Linked DNA regions of Caenorhabditis elegans. The protein of the gene in region 2 interacts with the protein of the main gene of each other region in a pairwise test. Each region holds a gene or a part of one and is shown on either strand. Other genes may lie near its edges.

Region 1 (9,507 bases), on a different chromosome or scaffold from region 2:
ATTTATGTTGTATTTAAAATCAGGATAGCTCAGTCGGTAGTGGTGGCCGCTAGCAATCTGGAGGTCACGAGTTTAAGTCCGGTCTCACCCCCTAGGCTCACCCAGCCTCTATTGTGAGGTGGAGCAATCCACGACTGGATTATCGGCCACAGTCTCCGGCTAGGCCGTGGTTTAAATTATAGCCCAGTGGAATCACCACCAGGCAGTGTACCTGAATTCCAGATCCGCAGTGCATAGCGTTTGAAGAACGGATCGTCATTTAATCCTTTTTTTTTAATCTAAAAACATTTAATTTTAGCTGTTTCTTTTGAAGCTTTATTGTTCATTACAGCCAATCTTAATTGTTTTCTTCAGATTGAGGAACGTGAAGCACTGCTCGAAGTCATTGAAGATGCTCTTGGCGAGACATTCGACCGCTACTCGCGCGTCCGAACCAACCAGATAATTGCGAATAGCGCTCGAAAACAGGCACAAATCTGGCGAGACGTCAAGGATTTTCTCGGATGTAATTTGTTCCCGTCTGCAATTCAAATGGCAAACAAGAGCGCAACCAGGAGTAAAACAGCCGCCGAAATAGTAGCCAGCATCAAGATGTATCCATGATTACCTGTATAACTGTAAATAATCAGATTAAAATGTTAACATATTGTATTAGGGAAGGTTGTGAATATTTTGCAAATGTCAGATGTTTTGGAAAAAAAATGTTATTCGTATACTGTTTATAAATAGAAAAAAATTATTAGGATCTTAAATGTGGAATAGCGTTGGATTTGTTACTTTAAAAATGCTAAAGTTATCTTAAAACTGAATAATTAAAATATCAAGATAAAATGTTTTGAAAAATTTTCAAACGTTTGTCATATCACCGGTCTAGAGATTGTAGTCAGTTGAAAAACCAATGCATCTCGAGGCCCAAGGGAACGGGCGCGCGAAAAACCATTTTGTGTCGATTTATAAAGCGTTCCGTAAATCCACACAAATCGGCTCTTCCCGCAACCCCGCCCATTGGGAAACATCCCAAGATGTCTGTGTTTCTGCAACTGATACCACTCTCTGAACCGGTAGTAGTAGGTAAAAATTAGGAAAACAGCAATATTTGAATTTACATGGATTTTATTAAATACTCTTGCACTTGTGTAGTTGATGCAACAATTTTTTTCAAATGATGTGTTTTTTACAAAACAAGGCCATTGCAATCTATTAACAATTTTCGTATTCTTACTGTAATATAGAATTTATATGTTCTTATGTATGTTGTTGTTTTTTTTTCAAATTTGACCCATCCCCTTAAATGTTCACTTCCGCCCAACCTGTGTAGTGTGCTCTCATACATTTGCTCAACATATAAAATGCTTGCTTGAAAAAAATTGTTTTTTTTTTTGAAATCATTTGAACAACAAAAAAATAGAAGGATAAGGAATTAAAGAAAATGACAAAACATACATTTTACCAGTCTGCAAAAATAAAAGGTGAACTTTTGTGAGAAGAAAGGAATTGGGACGGGGCGAGGGGGGATTGAGGGGATCAAGTTTGATACAGTAGGTCTCTTCACCCGCAGAAGCGACGTTTGAGAATTAAAAAAACACCATATTAATCAATAATTTTCAAAAAAAGTGTAAAAAGGAAAAAGTAAAATTAAAAAGGACACATTTACGACACACGGCATTGCCAAGAATTGGTTTTTTTTTTTGGAAACGTTCTGCGCAAAAAGGAATGATTGAGGGGGGAAAATTAGAAAAAAGTGGTAGTTACATTACTGTTTCCTAAATCACAATATAATGAGGTAAGTTATATATATATATATATATATTATATGTATATATATATATATTCTTTTAATTGCGACAGATTGAGTGAGAGTGAGAGAGAGAGAGAGGTTGAGGGGAGCGAGTGAGAGAAAAAAAGAAACAGTGAGAAAGGTAAGAGAGATAGTCCGAAAAGGATGAAGGCAGTTTTTTATTCAAAATCCTATGATCTAGTATATTGTATTCATAATATGAAAAGAAGTAAACGATGAATTGGAAAAATTAGAAAAAAAGTTCAAAAAACCCAAACTCGTAAGAGAAAGAGACGATTGTTAAGCTGGAACAATTAAGAAGACAAAAAAAAGTCAAAAAAGTAAAAATATACATCCGAAAAAACTGAGACAAAGATCAATGACAGAGCGAGGAAAATGAACAGAGAGAAATGGAAGAAAACGTTGCAAGTGAAATACTAGAAACAGGTTGTTGTTGTTGTTGTTGTTTTTAAGAAAACAACAAAAAAACACAGAGGAAAAAAAGAGACAGGAAGGAGGAGAAAAGGAAGAGGCAAATGAAACATGAATAGTATCACAAAACGGGGGTAAGAAATGAGATATTAAAGAGGAAATGGAGCACAAACTTGAAAAGGAGATGATACAATTAATGTCGACGTTGATTTGGTACCGCTTGCTGGAAATTGTTCCGAGCCTCCAGACTTTCGTTGTAGAATCTGCAAAATTGAAATTCTGGAATCAAAGTTGCTCGAGTACGGTGAGTGCAGGGAATTTGAAAATTGTAATTTAAATTTTTAAAAAATAACAATTTGAATTTTCCAATTACGAGATTTTCAACAAAGGAAAACACAGGGAAAACAAAAAAAAAACTAAATTTTCGTGAAAAATTGAGGCATTTTTTTCAAAACAGATAAGTACATTACTCGTTGGGGAATATTAAGTGAACTTTTCAAAGTTTTGGGTTGAAAATGTTGCAAAAGTGAAGTAACACCATTGGGAGAATTGTTAAAAACCACTTCTATGGTGCCAAAAAAAACCAAATATCGTAGTAAAACTTTTCGGAAAATTTTTTGAAAAATATTTATTGACAGTCAAAAAGTGGCAATTCGTAAGTTTTTCCACTTTTAAAATTTCCAAAACTAGAGCACTGTCGCATTCTTGAATCCCTACAATTCACAAGTAATAATTTAGGCCATAAAATTCGGAGCAAAAATTTTTTTCTGATCCGCCGTTTTCAAAAAAGCGGCAAGACCTGGGGCAAATGCCACTTTGGAACTGTCAATAAAAGAATTTTCAATATCCTTTTTTGAAACGTTTTACTATGATATTTGGCAATTTTGGCATTGTATTATAGGAGTGGTTTTTTATCAATTTCTGCTCCCATTTTCTTACTGGCGCTTTTCCACCTTTAAAACGAAAAAGTGTACGTGTTCAAAAATATTCCAAAAAACCAAGATATGGGCGGAGCTTTATATAGGAAAAAATTTGAAGATATTTTTTTTGCTGTATGCAAGACTAATTTGTTTTTAGTTACTAGAGATATTTTTCGATTTTTTCAAAATTAAAAAAAAGTCAAAAATCCAAATTAGTGATTGGTTAAAACGGGTGCAAATTGGAAACGTGCGGTGGTGGTGGTGCTCAACTCTTACCTCTGGCAGTTCAAATCTATTCTTAGGATAGTATGTTTTTATTTGGATTTTCAGACACACAATGCGATCAGTTTCAGTTGCGACGAAATCTGTAAAAACACAAAGCGTGTCAGTAGTTTTGTATTATTTGGTGAATGTAGAAAAATGAAAGCAAAGTACACCGCTAGTTTACCGGTTATTCGTTCAAAAGCATTATCATCTAGCCACTACATACTATTTGTTTCACTCGTCGGTTTAGCAACATCACAGTGACGAGACACCAACGGAAATAAGCTATAGTTTATGAAAAAATGATGAAATCAAAATTCTAAGCAAGAAAGAAAACAGCTTGAAATATTAAAATTAAAATAGCAGAAAGAAGAAGTACAAAACAACAAAGAAAAATACACACACACACATCACAACAGAACGTGTGTGAGAAACCTTTTTTTGAGGGGAATTTGAGTTAAAATGGCAAGTCAAATCTGGAAAAATTAGGGGATTGCCTTCGTTTTCTTCTCCATTTTCTATATTTTTTTGTTTCAAAATCTTTGCAAATCAATAGAAAAATCAATAGGAAACACTCACTTGTATGTATTCCAGTCAAACACGTAGTCATAGCAAAACTGTTGCCGATGGAATAACGTGCGGAACAAATTTCTCAAATAACCATAATCAGGCTGCTCTTCAAATCCAAGACTACGGCAATAGTTGAGGTACTGGGCAAACGCCTCGGGGTAGCCAGCGCACAGGTCGTCAACTCGCGTCGAAATCTTCTTCTCTGATATCAGCTCATACTTTTGCCGCTTTGTGACAGCTTTTAGTCCCTGCCACGGGAGAGTTCCACGATTAAAGTACATAAACACGTAGCCAAGAGACTCAATGTCGTCTCTTCGTGATTGTTCTGAAAAAAAAACAAATTGATTCAAAGTTGTATGAATGCACGTGGTGTCAGCGTGCCCCATTTTGGTTTGATCTACGTAGATCTTCGGAAAATGCGGGAGAAGAGACGCAGGCTTCTCAACTGATTTCTCATGGTTAAGAGCCTGCTGACGTCACATTTTTTGGGCAAAAAATTCCCCCATTTTTAGTAGATCAAACCGTAATGGGACAACCTAACCCCACGTGTGAATGGGCGAATAATGGATTATTCTTTGGGTTGGAAGAAATGGTTATCAAATTTTCAAAAAAAAATTATAGGATCATGATTTTTACTGTTACTGTAAAAATATTGCGTTTCATTTTTAAAGGTGGAGCAGCGCTAGAGGGGATTTTTGCTAAATAAACTTATAATGTTCCAAAACGACCGAATATCATAACAAAACACTTCAAAAAATTTTAGATTTTTTTTAAATTTTCTGGTCAAAGTTTTGGCAAATTGCCAAAGTTTTTGAAACACACATAAGCTTTTGAGGAAATTCAAAGAAATGTCGCAATAATTACAACAAATTTAAATTATAAAAAATGTAGGAAAATGTGTTTTTGGTCGACTTTCAAAATTATGAGTGGTAAAAACTAAGTATTTGTCACTTTTTGACTGTAAATAAAAAATTTTCAAATTTTTTTTTGAAAAGTTTTATTTTGTTATTCGCTCATTTCGGCTCCATAGGAGTAGTTTTTAACACTTTCCCCACTGGTGCTACTCCACCTTTGAAGTGCTTCACTGTTAATGCAACTTCAAAAACATACCAATTCCTCGATGAGTATTTATACTGGCGTATCTTGCAGTTCCAGTTAGATTCTTATTTTCCCGATATGCGATATGTTGATGTTTGCTATCACGATAGCGTTTCGCTAGTCCAAAATCAATAATCTGCAAAAAAAGGCACAACATAGTAGGCTGGCTAATCCCTCACAAAAGAAAAACTTACATAGACCAGATTTCCTCGCTTTCCAAGACCCATCAAAAAGTTATCCGGCTTAATATCGCGATGAATGTAATCTCGGCAATGAATAAATTCCACACGAGACAACATTTGATCGGCAAGCAGCAGGACGGTTTTCAGCGAGAATTTTCGTTGGCAAAAGTTGAACAGATCCTCGAGTGAAGGGCCTAGTAACTCCATCACCATAACGTTGTAGTCACCTTCCTGCCCGCACCACCGAATCTCTGGAATTCCAATGCCTCCGAGCATTATGCGGTAGAGCCGTGATTCAATGTGCAGCTGAGGGTGTTTGGATTTGACACATTCCAGCTTCACCGCCACTTCTTCATTTGTTTGAATATTTTGACCCAAGTAGATGTCACCGAACGAGCCGCTTCCGATTTTGCGACCGAGGCGGAAACGATTGCCGACACGAAGTTCCATCTCCGCTGAAAATTTGAATATATATTATTCACAATTCATAAATCTGGTATTGTGAATTTTGCACTTTAGATTTCAAATCGCTCTGACATTGACGTAAAGCGCATTTTACTACCTGACTACTGGCGCGATTAAAATCAAGTTTTTTTTTGTTCGAAAAGCCTTTCACTTTTCATGACCTTTTGCCAAGCCACCCCGCTTATTCACCTTTCTTGTGCACTAATGGCTGCGGAACTGGAGGTATCTGCTGTGTCGCCAAAAAATGTGATAATAGCGTTGGATCAAGCGTTAAAGCCAACGACACAAATTGTGCATGAGAAGATGCTAGCTGTGCCTGAGCCAACGCTGCTATTGTATTCGGGTCTATGGGCGGCCAATTGAATCCAGACTGTTGTGTGAACATTGTGGGGTCTATTTGGGGTTGAGTTGGATGTGGTATTTGAGAAGGTTGAGCTTGTTGTAATAGAGGAGGTTGTTGGTGTTGCTGTATAGGTGGAGGTATGACTGGAAAATTATGGAGCAGCCGTGGCTGATGGTGTTCTCCGTGTGCTTGCGCCATCAACAGAGGGTGCCTATTCATTTCCTCTGGCCCGCTGCCAGATGGTAATAATAGGGCCTCTGGGCCACCGATCACCGCCGTTTCACCGGGATTATGACTGTTCGTGGCTGGTTCGGTGGTGTCCATCGGTGTGCTCGTGTTGTTGTGCCAGGTTGCTGCAGCGGCGGCATCATTTGACATTGTCGCCATACACCTCTCTGCACAATCGGGACAGACACCCTCCAGCTAAAACGTGGCAAAAATCAGAGAGTCGAGTTTGGTTAGAAATACGCCAAAACGAAGAGTCAAATGAAGCAATCAGAAAAAAAAATTTGGCAAAGATAGGAGGAGAGGAAAAGTGTCACGTGAGAGAAACACGAGCCACAAAATAGAATACTGATAAGTCTGAGCCAAAGATTGAAAACAGTTGAAATTGAAAACAGAGAAAGTACTTGCACTAAAAGTCTACGTAAACCCCTCATTGAAGTTCCCCCTAACAAGGAACGGAACGAACGCAAACAGTGAAAAAAAAGTGAAAGAGATAAAGTTTTTCTTGTTGGTGTCTCTTTTTTTGTTGCTTCTCTATCTCACTTTTTAATGCGTTGAAAAACTAGATTTTCGTGCCAAGTGCGCAAATGGCCTCACACACAGGGACAGGGACAGTCACCATACACACACACGCACACACACATACACACACAAAAGTGCTTTGTTCTTACATCTGACGTGTGCAATCTAACCTTGCGGCAAAAAAAAATGGAAAGTGGGAGGGGAACGACAGAAGAAAACGTGTTTTCAGGCGTTTTTCTGTCACCTCGCGCTGCTTCTGCGCTCGCTCCCTTTTCCTCTATCTCACGCGCGTCCTCTTTTTGGCAAATCAGTTCGAAATGACTTCTGGGCGAGCGAACGAGAGAGATATCATGTTGGATGGTGAAGCGCAGAGGTGCAGAAAATCGACCTTTGTGATGATCCGAAATAGTACGCAAAAGAGAAGGGGGGAAAACCAAGAATAAGAGGAAAGGTGGAGAAGGGGGGGGGGGGGGAGAAACAAACATCACGTTACTGACTGGGCAAATAAATGCGAAAATTGATCTTTAGGTAAATTGTGGAACAGGTACAAATGGGTTGTGTTCCCAATGATGAGGGTACGCAAAAGTTCAAAAATCAAAAGTTTGAATGAAACATTTCAAGGATATGAATTTAACAAAAAAATTATTGATTAGGCAAAAATTAAAATTTCTTATGCACTTCTTATGCTGCGTATAAACATTTTATATCAGAAATGTCTCAAATGTTTACATAATTTTTTTATGTTTTAGATCAGAAAACTTAACAGGCGTTTGTAAGGTACCTTTGAAACCTCGAAAAAAGGCGAAAAACTTAAAGCATTCATTTTTTTTTCAAATTTTCGCTATAAAAACTCTAAAAACACTATATAGAAAAACAAAAAAAATCCCTAGTTAGTCAAGTCAGGTTCGAAGAAACAACGAGGGAAAGCGAAAAACCGACGGGGAGGGAATAGAAACGAAAGTGCAATCGTACAAGAAACAGTTTGGAAAGTGAAAGATGAAGAGATGGAGAAGAAGAAAAGCAATGGATGCGGAAACGAGGGCGAAACAGAAAGGAAAGGATGCTGCTGCTGCTGGGGACTGCTGCGGCGGCAGTGCGTCGCCTTCACGTAGTCTTTCTGCGTTGTATACAGAACAACGTAGCGATGGATCAAAAAGACGGAGAGAGAGAGATATGGAAAGAGAGATGGACGGATAGAAAGCGTATTAGACAGCGCGGCGAAGGCGAAGCTTGCGGGGTGGCGGTAGGAATAAGAGGGGAGAGATCGAAAGCGCGCCTGCCGACGCGACGCGTAGCAGCGCCCTAACCGTGCGGCTGCGGCGCGTTGCAGGCCAGACAGAAACAGCCCTTTCTTCTCCCCCCCCACATTTTCTGTGTGCTTCTCTGAATTCTCCTCGCTCTCACCTTTTTCACTTTCCATTTCGCTCTAACAGCGCTCACACACTCACACACACACACACACACACACACACACACACACACACACACACAAATACAACGTGGGAGAGAGAGACCAGACTGTGGTGATAGTGGGAGAAGGGGAGGGCCAGACAGGAGGAGGAGGGGTGGAAGGATAAAAGTGAGGACATTGGGACGAGCGCTCGCCGCGCGCGCGCCCGCCCGCCTTGTGGAAAGAAAAACCGGTCTAGCGCCCTTGCGAAAGGGTGCTTTTGCTGCTACTGCTGCTGCTGCTGCTGCTACGGTGTATGTGGAAAGATAGATTGGGGGACGGGGACGGCCACCCTGCGCGGAAAAACTCTCATTTGAAAATGAGAGTGTGTAGAACGAATGGGAAAATCAAGGACACATGGGGGAGCTGCTGCACCACGACCGCCGGCGCCGCGTCGGCCGCCGACATGACAAAAAAAAACTCCGAGCAAAAGTGCATCTGCCGCTTTCCTTCCCCCTCCAGCAACTCCCAACACTATCATAGTCAAATAGGCAGGGCGACGTGAAAGACGATAGCAGATGGGTGGTGGGATGAATTGCACGGAATACAGGCGAAACAGTTGTGGGTGCGACGATATCGAAAAGGTTGTTCAAATACACGCACGCGCACGCTCGCACTGCATGTCCTAGACAACCAGATAGGCCGATTGGGAGGCGGAGGGCGCTGTGCTGAAATATATATATATATATGGATATATATAAATTTTTTCTGTGCGCGCCCACCGGCACTCGTACTATAGTGCATGTACGTCTATTTAAAAGTGCACATTCGAAGCGGAAAGTACAAAAGAGTATTTTGTTTTTCAGCTGCTCTGGCAAGGCACACTTTCCGGCACTTTCAGAAAGTACGTCTAGTCGCACTGATCTCATCATATCAGTTGTGCTTTTTTGTAGGGTGGGGAGAGGGGGTAAGCAAGAAAAAAAAGATTGATAAAATTCCACATCGGCAAAGATAAGAGAAAATTAAATGTACAATAAAATGTTCAAGGCGGTTGCGAAATTTTCAATCAATGCAATCCAGGTGAAAAAAACAAACTTAGTTTGCTGAAATACATTCGGACCACCAAAGCCAAAATTTCTTTAAACTCTCGTAAGACGTATCACAAAAACCAGCATAGTCCAAAAACAAAGGTCTCACAGCGAAAAATCTCAATCACAGAAAAAAGTGAAAGATAAAACAAATCGTGAGGAAATACGATGCTATTGTTTAATGCATATTTCTTATTACGCTTGAAACTTTAAAAGAAACAAAAGAAAATA
Region 2 (6,592 bases):
ATTAATATATATACTTTTTTCCCAACTTTCCAATTGCAAAAAGCTGGTCACCATATTTCCTCTATTAGGGATCTAGTAGTATTGCAACTCTGCGAACTAAGAGAAAAGTTGCAATACTATAAATATTCCCAATATACTATTTTTTTCGCACAAGAGAAAATAGAAAAATGTGAGTTGATGAGTAGGAAAAATTGTTCTATCTGATTTTTGTCATTATTTCTTCGATATCTTCAATGTTTCAAGGACAACAAATTATAGCAATGAAATTATACAAATTAAAAATAAAATAGTAACGCAGGGGGTACGGTAAGTTCAGAAAATTAAAATATCGATGTTCATTTGGCAATGACAAAAACATGGCATAACATACCACACCCGGTCTATAAATAGATTGAGAATTCAAATGTTTCGTAATTTTGACCACAAAAAATAAATTCACAAGTGTTTTCAAAAAAACCGGGAGGGAGCAAGGAAGCCACGTCCGCATGATAGTCGACAAAAAGTGGGGGAAAAGGCCATAAAGATAAGCAATTGAGAGCAAGAGAAACGTGTACGCGGATGTGACGATCGAAAGGTAAAAAGTAGATCAGAACGGGTTAAAATCAGATATTATTTGGAGCAAAAAAGGACCAAAGAGTCAAAGGGTTTTATTCCCAAAACATTTCTGGGAGATTACAGATGCCTTAATGCTAAATACTACATCTAACATTGTGAAAATTTGTTTTGAAAAATACTAAAAGAGGAAAAAATTGCTATGATTCAAACTCTTCAATAAGATCAACTCAGCCTAATTGGAAATATACTACAATCATTTCTATGTTATTACAGTTGTTATATGATTTACCTTTCACCTCTCATAGAACTTCCATATATTGTTTAGCAGATGTAGTGATAATGATTCAGGTACTCTACAAAAAATTGGATACAAAAATGCCAATATATGGGCGTGGCTTCACAAAGAGCAGTTCAGAAATTCGTCTTCTATGATTCTCAAGAAAATTGCCAAAAGTATTCCTATTCCAGACTAAATAGATCTATTTGAAAAATTTTTATGAGAAGTGCAGTTAATACTTGTCAATAACTTGGAAGGATCTAAAATCAAAAATTTAATATAGGATGTACCGTTTTTATTTTTTAAAGTACTCGAAAATATATATCATTTTAATTTCACACCTCTCTAAAATAACAATTTTAAAAAATTAGAAAAATCATAAATAGGCTTCCCTAGTTACATATATATTCATAAACTAGAAAATGAATAATAATTCATTCTTATCAAAAACTGAAACTAGTCTCTGGAATCAATAAACCAATTCAAATCGTGCCATTGCGGCCGAAGAGCGCTAATAAATTAGCTTGTAAAACTTTGGCAGTGTCGTCAGTGCCTGTGATGATAAGAGAACCGTCCTCTAGCACATTACATGCAAAGTAGTACAATCTGTTAATTTATCAGTAGACACGTGGTGGTCGCCACAAAGCTGAAACTGATGTTCGATAAATGACTAAGCGTTTATTCAACTGACAAAAAATGACATATTTACAGTATCTGGATAAGACAAAATCTACACATTCAGAATTTATTGAATAGTTCTTCTAATTCCTGAATGGCTTTAACTGGTCTATCACAAACGAATCCTTTACACATGTACACTGCAGGTTTCGGTCCTTCAGCCATTGCCTTATGAGAAGGTCCCGATGCTGACAAATCTTCTTCTGATTGAATATGTACAACAGACAGGTTATTCAAGAACTTTTGATTCAGTCGGCTTCGAGTTTCGGACAAAAGTTCAGATTTCGGATCACCAACGAGAACAAATGTGGTAGATCCAATTTGCCATCGATGAAGTGCGACTGCCATTTTTGGTAGGGCGATTGGGACCCTAAAATTAAAAATGTTGCGAGCTCAAGCAAAAGTTGTTCGATATTACGTATTCAGTCGCTCTGAAGCTCCCCGGAAACACTGATTCGCCTTCTCACGATATTCCTCCTTTTCAAGAATGTCATAAAGCCTAAGAAGGTTGTTTGATGCGATTGAAGTGGCTGTGGGCTCTGCTCCATCTTGATCTGAAATTTAAGTGTTATGTGTACTAATCAAAATTAAAATAGTAACCTTCAATCATTCTCACAGAAACATCTTCATCGGTTTTCTCGCTGATGAAGTATCCATTTCCGTTCCAGAACTTTACATCACAAATTTTCTGAAGCTCAACGGCTTTCTTGAGATATTCATCTTTGCCAACTGTTGTATAGAGATCCAAAAGAGCTTGAATCAAAAACGCATAATCGTCAGAAAATGCTCTTATTTCTTGATTGCCTTGTTCAACTTCTCCATTAGCACCCAAATATACAGATCTTCTAAGCTCTCCATTATCGTCTAAAAATTTTCCGATGAATTCTGCACACTTTTCAGCTCGATCCAAATATTTTGTTTCTTCAGTAGCTTGATATGCTTTCACAAGTCCTGTGATTGCTAGTCCTTGCCACGAAGTAACCATTTTTGAATCAAGATGTGGGCTTGGTCTTTGTGTTCGAGCATTCCACAAAATTTCTTTTGCTTCATCGATTCCTTTCTTGAGTTCCGCAACAGATATTTCGTGATTCGTGGCACACTCCTCATCAGTCAGCAACTTTCTCAGGACATTTTTATTCTTCAGTTCACCATGGGGATCCGAAGATCGTGCAACATTTCCACTATCTTCAACATCGAAATAATCAGCAACTACATCGAAAAGTGAAGCTGATCCAATTTTCTTGTCTCCCAATAATTGTTTAATTTCTTCTTTCTCCCAAGCACAAAACGCTCCTTCAACTTTATTCGAAGAATTATGATTTGGCAAGGAATCAGCATCTTCTGCAGCATAGAATCCACCATCTTTATGACTGATCTTTTGCATGTATTGGTAGATGTCATTAATGACATGCTTTACATTATCATGTTTTCTTTCTGTCAATTTATGAAAATCTGAATATGTAGCCAATAGCTGAGATTGATCATACAACATTTTCTCAAAATGTGGAATATGCCATTCGGATCCGACAGAATATCGATGAAATCCATTTCCAATATGATCATGGATTCCTCCATCAGCCATTGATTCCAAAGTTTTTTGAAGCATCATGATACTGTCTTTGGCTTTTTCGGATTCATTCTCGCTTGCAGCAAAAGTGATTAGAAAATCTAAATCACAAGCTTTTGGAAATTTCGGAGCTCTGCCAAATCCTCCAAGTCTGCTGTCAAAAGATGATTGTTTGTGAGAATATATTGATTTGAACACTTCTTCGGATCTATTGACATCCCCAGAAGCAGTTTCAGGTTGAAGAAGTTTGATAATTTGGGCTCCGCGTTGTTTCAAACTCTCTCCTTCTTTTTTCCACTGAAAAATTTTAAAACTTTGGCTAATTTTTAAATGAAAAGATTTTGTGGCACCTACTTCAGTATGAATCATGTTGAGGATAGTTGGAAAGCCGAGCATTCCACGGTTGTCGTCTGGTGGAAAATAGGTTCCGCCAGTGATTGGATGAAGATCCGGTGTTAGGAAAACTGACATTGGCCATCCACCGTGTCCACTTGAAGCCTGAGATGGAGATATTGATTAAAACAATTTTAATTTTGTTTCATACCACGACAAAAGCCATATAGAGTTTATCAACGTCTGGTCGTTCTTCTCTGTCAACTTTGATAGCCACGAAGTTGTCGTTCAGGATTTTTGCTGTTGCCTCATTTTCAAATGATTCTTTTTCCATCACATGACACCAGTGACAAGTTGAATATCCAACTGAAATATTAAAGTTTGTTTGATAATATATTTTGATTATCTACCTGACAGGAAGATAGGTTTGTTATTATCTTTAGCCTTCTGGAATGCTTCTTGTCCCCACGGATACCAATCGATGGGATTGTTTGCATGCTGGAGGAGGTAAGGACTCTTTTCCTGTCCAAGACGATTTTTGTACGTTGAAGTCCTGATTTGTTTTGCTTTACAATTTTCATAATTGAATAAACTTACATTCGGATAACAGTTATTGGTGCAAGCGCTCTTAACATCAACACTGTCTCTGAATTGTTATCTTTTCTAAAATAAATTATCACTAACACGAGCTACCATGAAGTATCATAGAGTAACCAACATTTTTTCCAAATTTCTACTCAAGGTTAAATATTCTCAAACACATTGAATGGAGATCAAATTACTTCATAAAAAATATAAAATAAGTTATTCAGATAGTTAGGCGTCATCAAGAGGATTCTTCTCTGGAGGCGGTCCACACGGCTGAATCATGCGATTTATCAGATTGAAGCGGGTTCGAGCTCGGCTCTCGTTCTCCACAACGGCAATATACGTGTTCATTCCGGGATGAGACATTTGAAAGGCGCGAGTGTCGCGGTGCTGGAATATTATTTGTTTATTCAAACTTTCTATAGATTTTGGCAGTAGCCGTTTACCGTTTTAAAGAAATTTATGAGAAAAAGAGAGAAACAAACCTGATTCACAATCCATTCGTGACGGTTCATGTCGCATGGCCGTACCGGTGTATTTCGATTGAAGATGCTCCAATTGAGCAAGAACGTGGAATCGTTCTCCGGGAAGAGCCATTTTCTGGAAATCTACTAATATTTAACGAAGAAACCAATGTAACAGTGAATTTATATAAATAAAAAAGAGGGAACACATGAAACTTATAGATAAAAGATTATTTAAGAAGTCGTCGCTGTTTTTAAAAACGATAAAAAAAACAAGTGTCGTAAGAATGCGCGCACGAGGTGTAATCGGTGTTTGCGTACTTGTCCACCGTACTCCTATTCGAAAATGTTTTCTTGATCAAAATTGTTAAATTTATATTCAGAATTATTTCGTTTTCAAGATAAAATCATTATGAGCGACCACTTGGGAAGTTCTCATGACGAAGGTGAGCTGTCAGATGAAAGTCACAAGAAAAGTAAGTAGGTTTCACAAGTTTTGAGTGTAACTTATTATTTCTAGGTCAAAGAGCGTCGAGTTCCGATGAGCCAAATCCAGCCAAGTCGAACAAAGGTATATAAAGTGATTAAATTTGAAACTACTAATTATAAATTTCAGGTTTGGAATCAAAAATGCGTGAAAGCATATTAAGTCGTCTGAGCAAGCGGAAGAACAGTGAAAGCGATGATGATACCACAGAACAACGGTTTTCAATACAGCCTAAAAACGCTGTATGTTAATTTTTGTGTATTACTGTTTTAAAATTATTAATTCACAGCAAAAGGCAAAAGAGGACCGATATCGAGATAAAGAAAGAGATAAAAAACGGGAAAAGGACAAACGAGATGACAGAAGAGACGTGCGTGGACCAGATGCTCGACAAAAAGATCGTGATTTCAAAGGTAATCAGCAAATAGAATAAGAGGTACTTATTAATACTTTTAGGACGACAGGAAAGATCTGGAAGAGATCAGAAAGTACATGAACATAGACATCATCACCATCATAGAAAACACGAAACAGATGGGCACCGCACAAACAGAAGTAACAGAGATCGTTCGTCTGAAAGAGACTCAGAAAAACACAAAAGGCATATTGATCGTCATAAAAAGTAAGTTCGTTTCTTTCTGAAAAGAAATTAATAATTTTTGTTTGATTTTTTAGATCCAGCACAACTTCTCCTGATAATGACAAATCGCCACACAAAAAGTCAAAACATACAGATGTTCCAGCAGATGCAAAGCTCTTTGATAGAAGTATTTTAAACCACATACATTTTATAGTGATTTAATTTTGAAAATTTCAGTTCTCGACCCGAACTACAAAAAGAAAGATGACGATGTTCTCGTGATTGAAGATGTAGAAATGTCGCCAATTGAGATATTAGAAGAAAAGGAAGAGAAAGAAATTGTCGAATTCACTATAGACTCACCAGCTGGCCCCAAGAAATACTCAAAATTCGAAAGCGACCCAGAAAGTGATCATGACGATACTAAACCGAAGAGCCCTGGAAAAGCTGAAGACGGTAAAAATTTGCCCAGTATCAAAATTGAAACAATTAAGTTATACTTTTATTCATTTAAATCAATTATAGATGACGATGTCATAGAAGTATTGGATGATGCTCTACATTCGGATGATGATGCAGATAGCGATGAAGATAAATATTTAAAAACACCAGAAGATCGAGAATGGGAAGAAATGACTGAAACTGAACAAAGACTTCATAAAGAAGCAATGAAAAAACGTGCGTCAATGAAACAAAAAACATTGATCGCCCAGTTACCTGTTTTTTATCCCGGTCTCATGGGATGTAGAAATATTGATGAATATGAATGTGTGAATCGAGTTGATGAAGGAACATTTGGAGTTGTATATCGTGGAAAAGATAAACGAACGGATGAGATTGTCGCGTTAAAAAGACTGAAAATGGAGAAAGAGAAAGAAGGATTTCCAATCACTGCTCTTCGTGAAATCAATATGCTTCTAAAAGCTGGAAATCACCCGAATATTGTGAATGTTAAAGAAATTCTACTAGGAAGTAATATGGATAAGATCTACATGGCTATGGAGTTTGTTGAACATGACATGAAAAGTCTTTTAGACACAATGTCTCGTCGAAACAAACGATT

What was found.
Region 1: the proteins of B0495.5 (region 2) and kin-20 interact in a two-hybrid assay, tested with the Caenorhabditis elegans proteins (2 studies listed by BioGRID).

What each region holds. Positions count from the first base shown.
Region 1 is NC_003284.9:15,267,255-15,276,761, forward strand, and holds kin-20 (Casein kinase I), read right to left. Parts: upstream 6,486-9,507; 5' UTR 6,439-6,485; coding exon 5,898-6,438; intron 5,699-5,897; coding exon 5,256-5,698; intron 5,198-5,255; coding exon 5,074-5,197; intron 4,289-5,073; coding exon 3,973-4,288; intron 3,870-3,972; coding exon of another isoform or gene 3,851-3,869; exon of another isoform or gene 3,829-3,850; intron 3,495-3,828; coding exon of another isoform or gene 3,479-3,494; exon of another isoform or gene 3,406-3,478; intron 2,473-3,405; coding exon 2,403-2,472; 3' UTR 1,362-2,402; downstream 1-1,361. Other genes in the region: F46F2.5 (CDT1 domain-containing protein), read left to right, coding at 355-603. UniProt on the Caenorhabditis elegans protein: Essential serine/threonine-protein kinase that regulates diverse cellular growth and survival processes including Wnt signaling, DNA repair and circadian rhythms. Casein kinases are operationally defined by their preferential utilization of acidic proteins.
Region 2 is NC_003280.10:7,694,439-7,701,030, forward strand, and holds B0495.5 (thioredoxin domain-containing protein), read right to left. Parts: upstream 4,057-6,592; 5' UTR 4,046-4,056; coding exon 4,008-4,045; intron 3,964-4,007; coding exon 3,821-3,963; intron 3,777-3,820; coding exon 3,622-3,776; intron 3,576-3,621; coding exon 3,432-3,575; intron 3,375-3,431; coding exon 2,111-3,374; intron 2,065-2,110; coding exon 1,929-2,064; intron 1,881-1,928; coding exon 1,571-1,880; 3' UTR 1,497-1,570; downstream 1-1,496. Other genes in the region: Protein moa-2, read right to left, coding at 4,237-4,388, 4,484-4,595; cdk-11.1 (Cyclin-dependent kinase 11.1), read left to right, coding at 4,875-4,938, 4,983-5,033, 5,079-5,191, 5,239-5,362, 5,406-5,571, 5,625-5,716, 5,767-5,985, 6,055-6,592.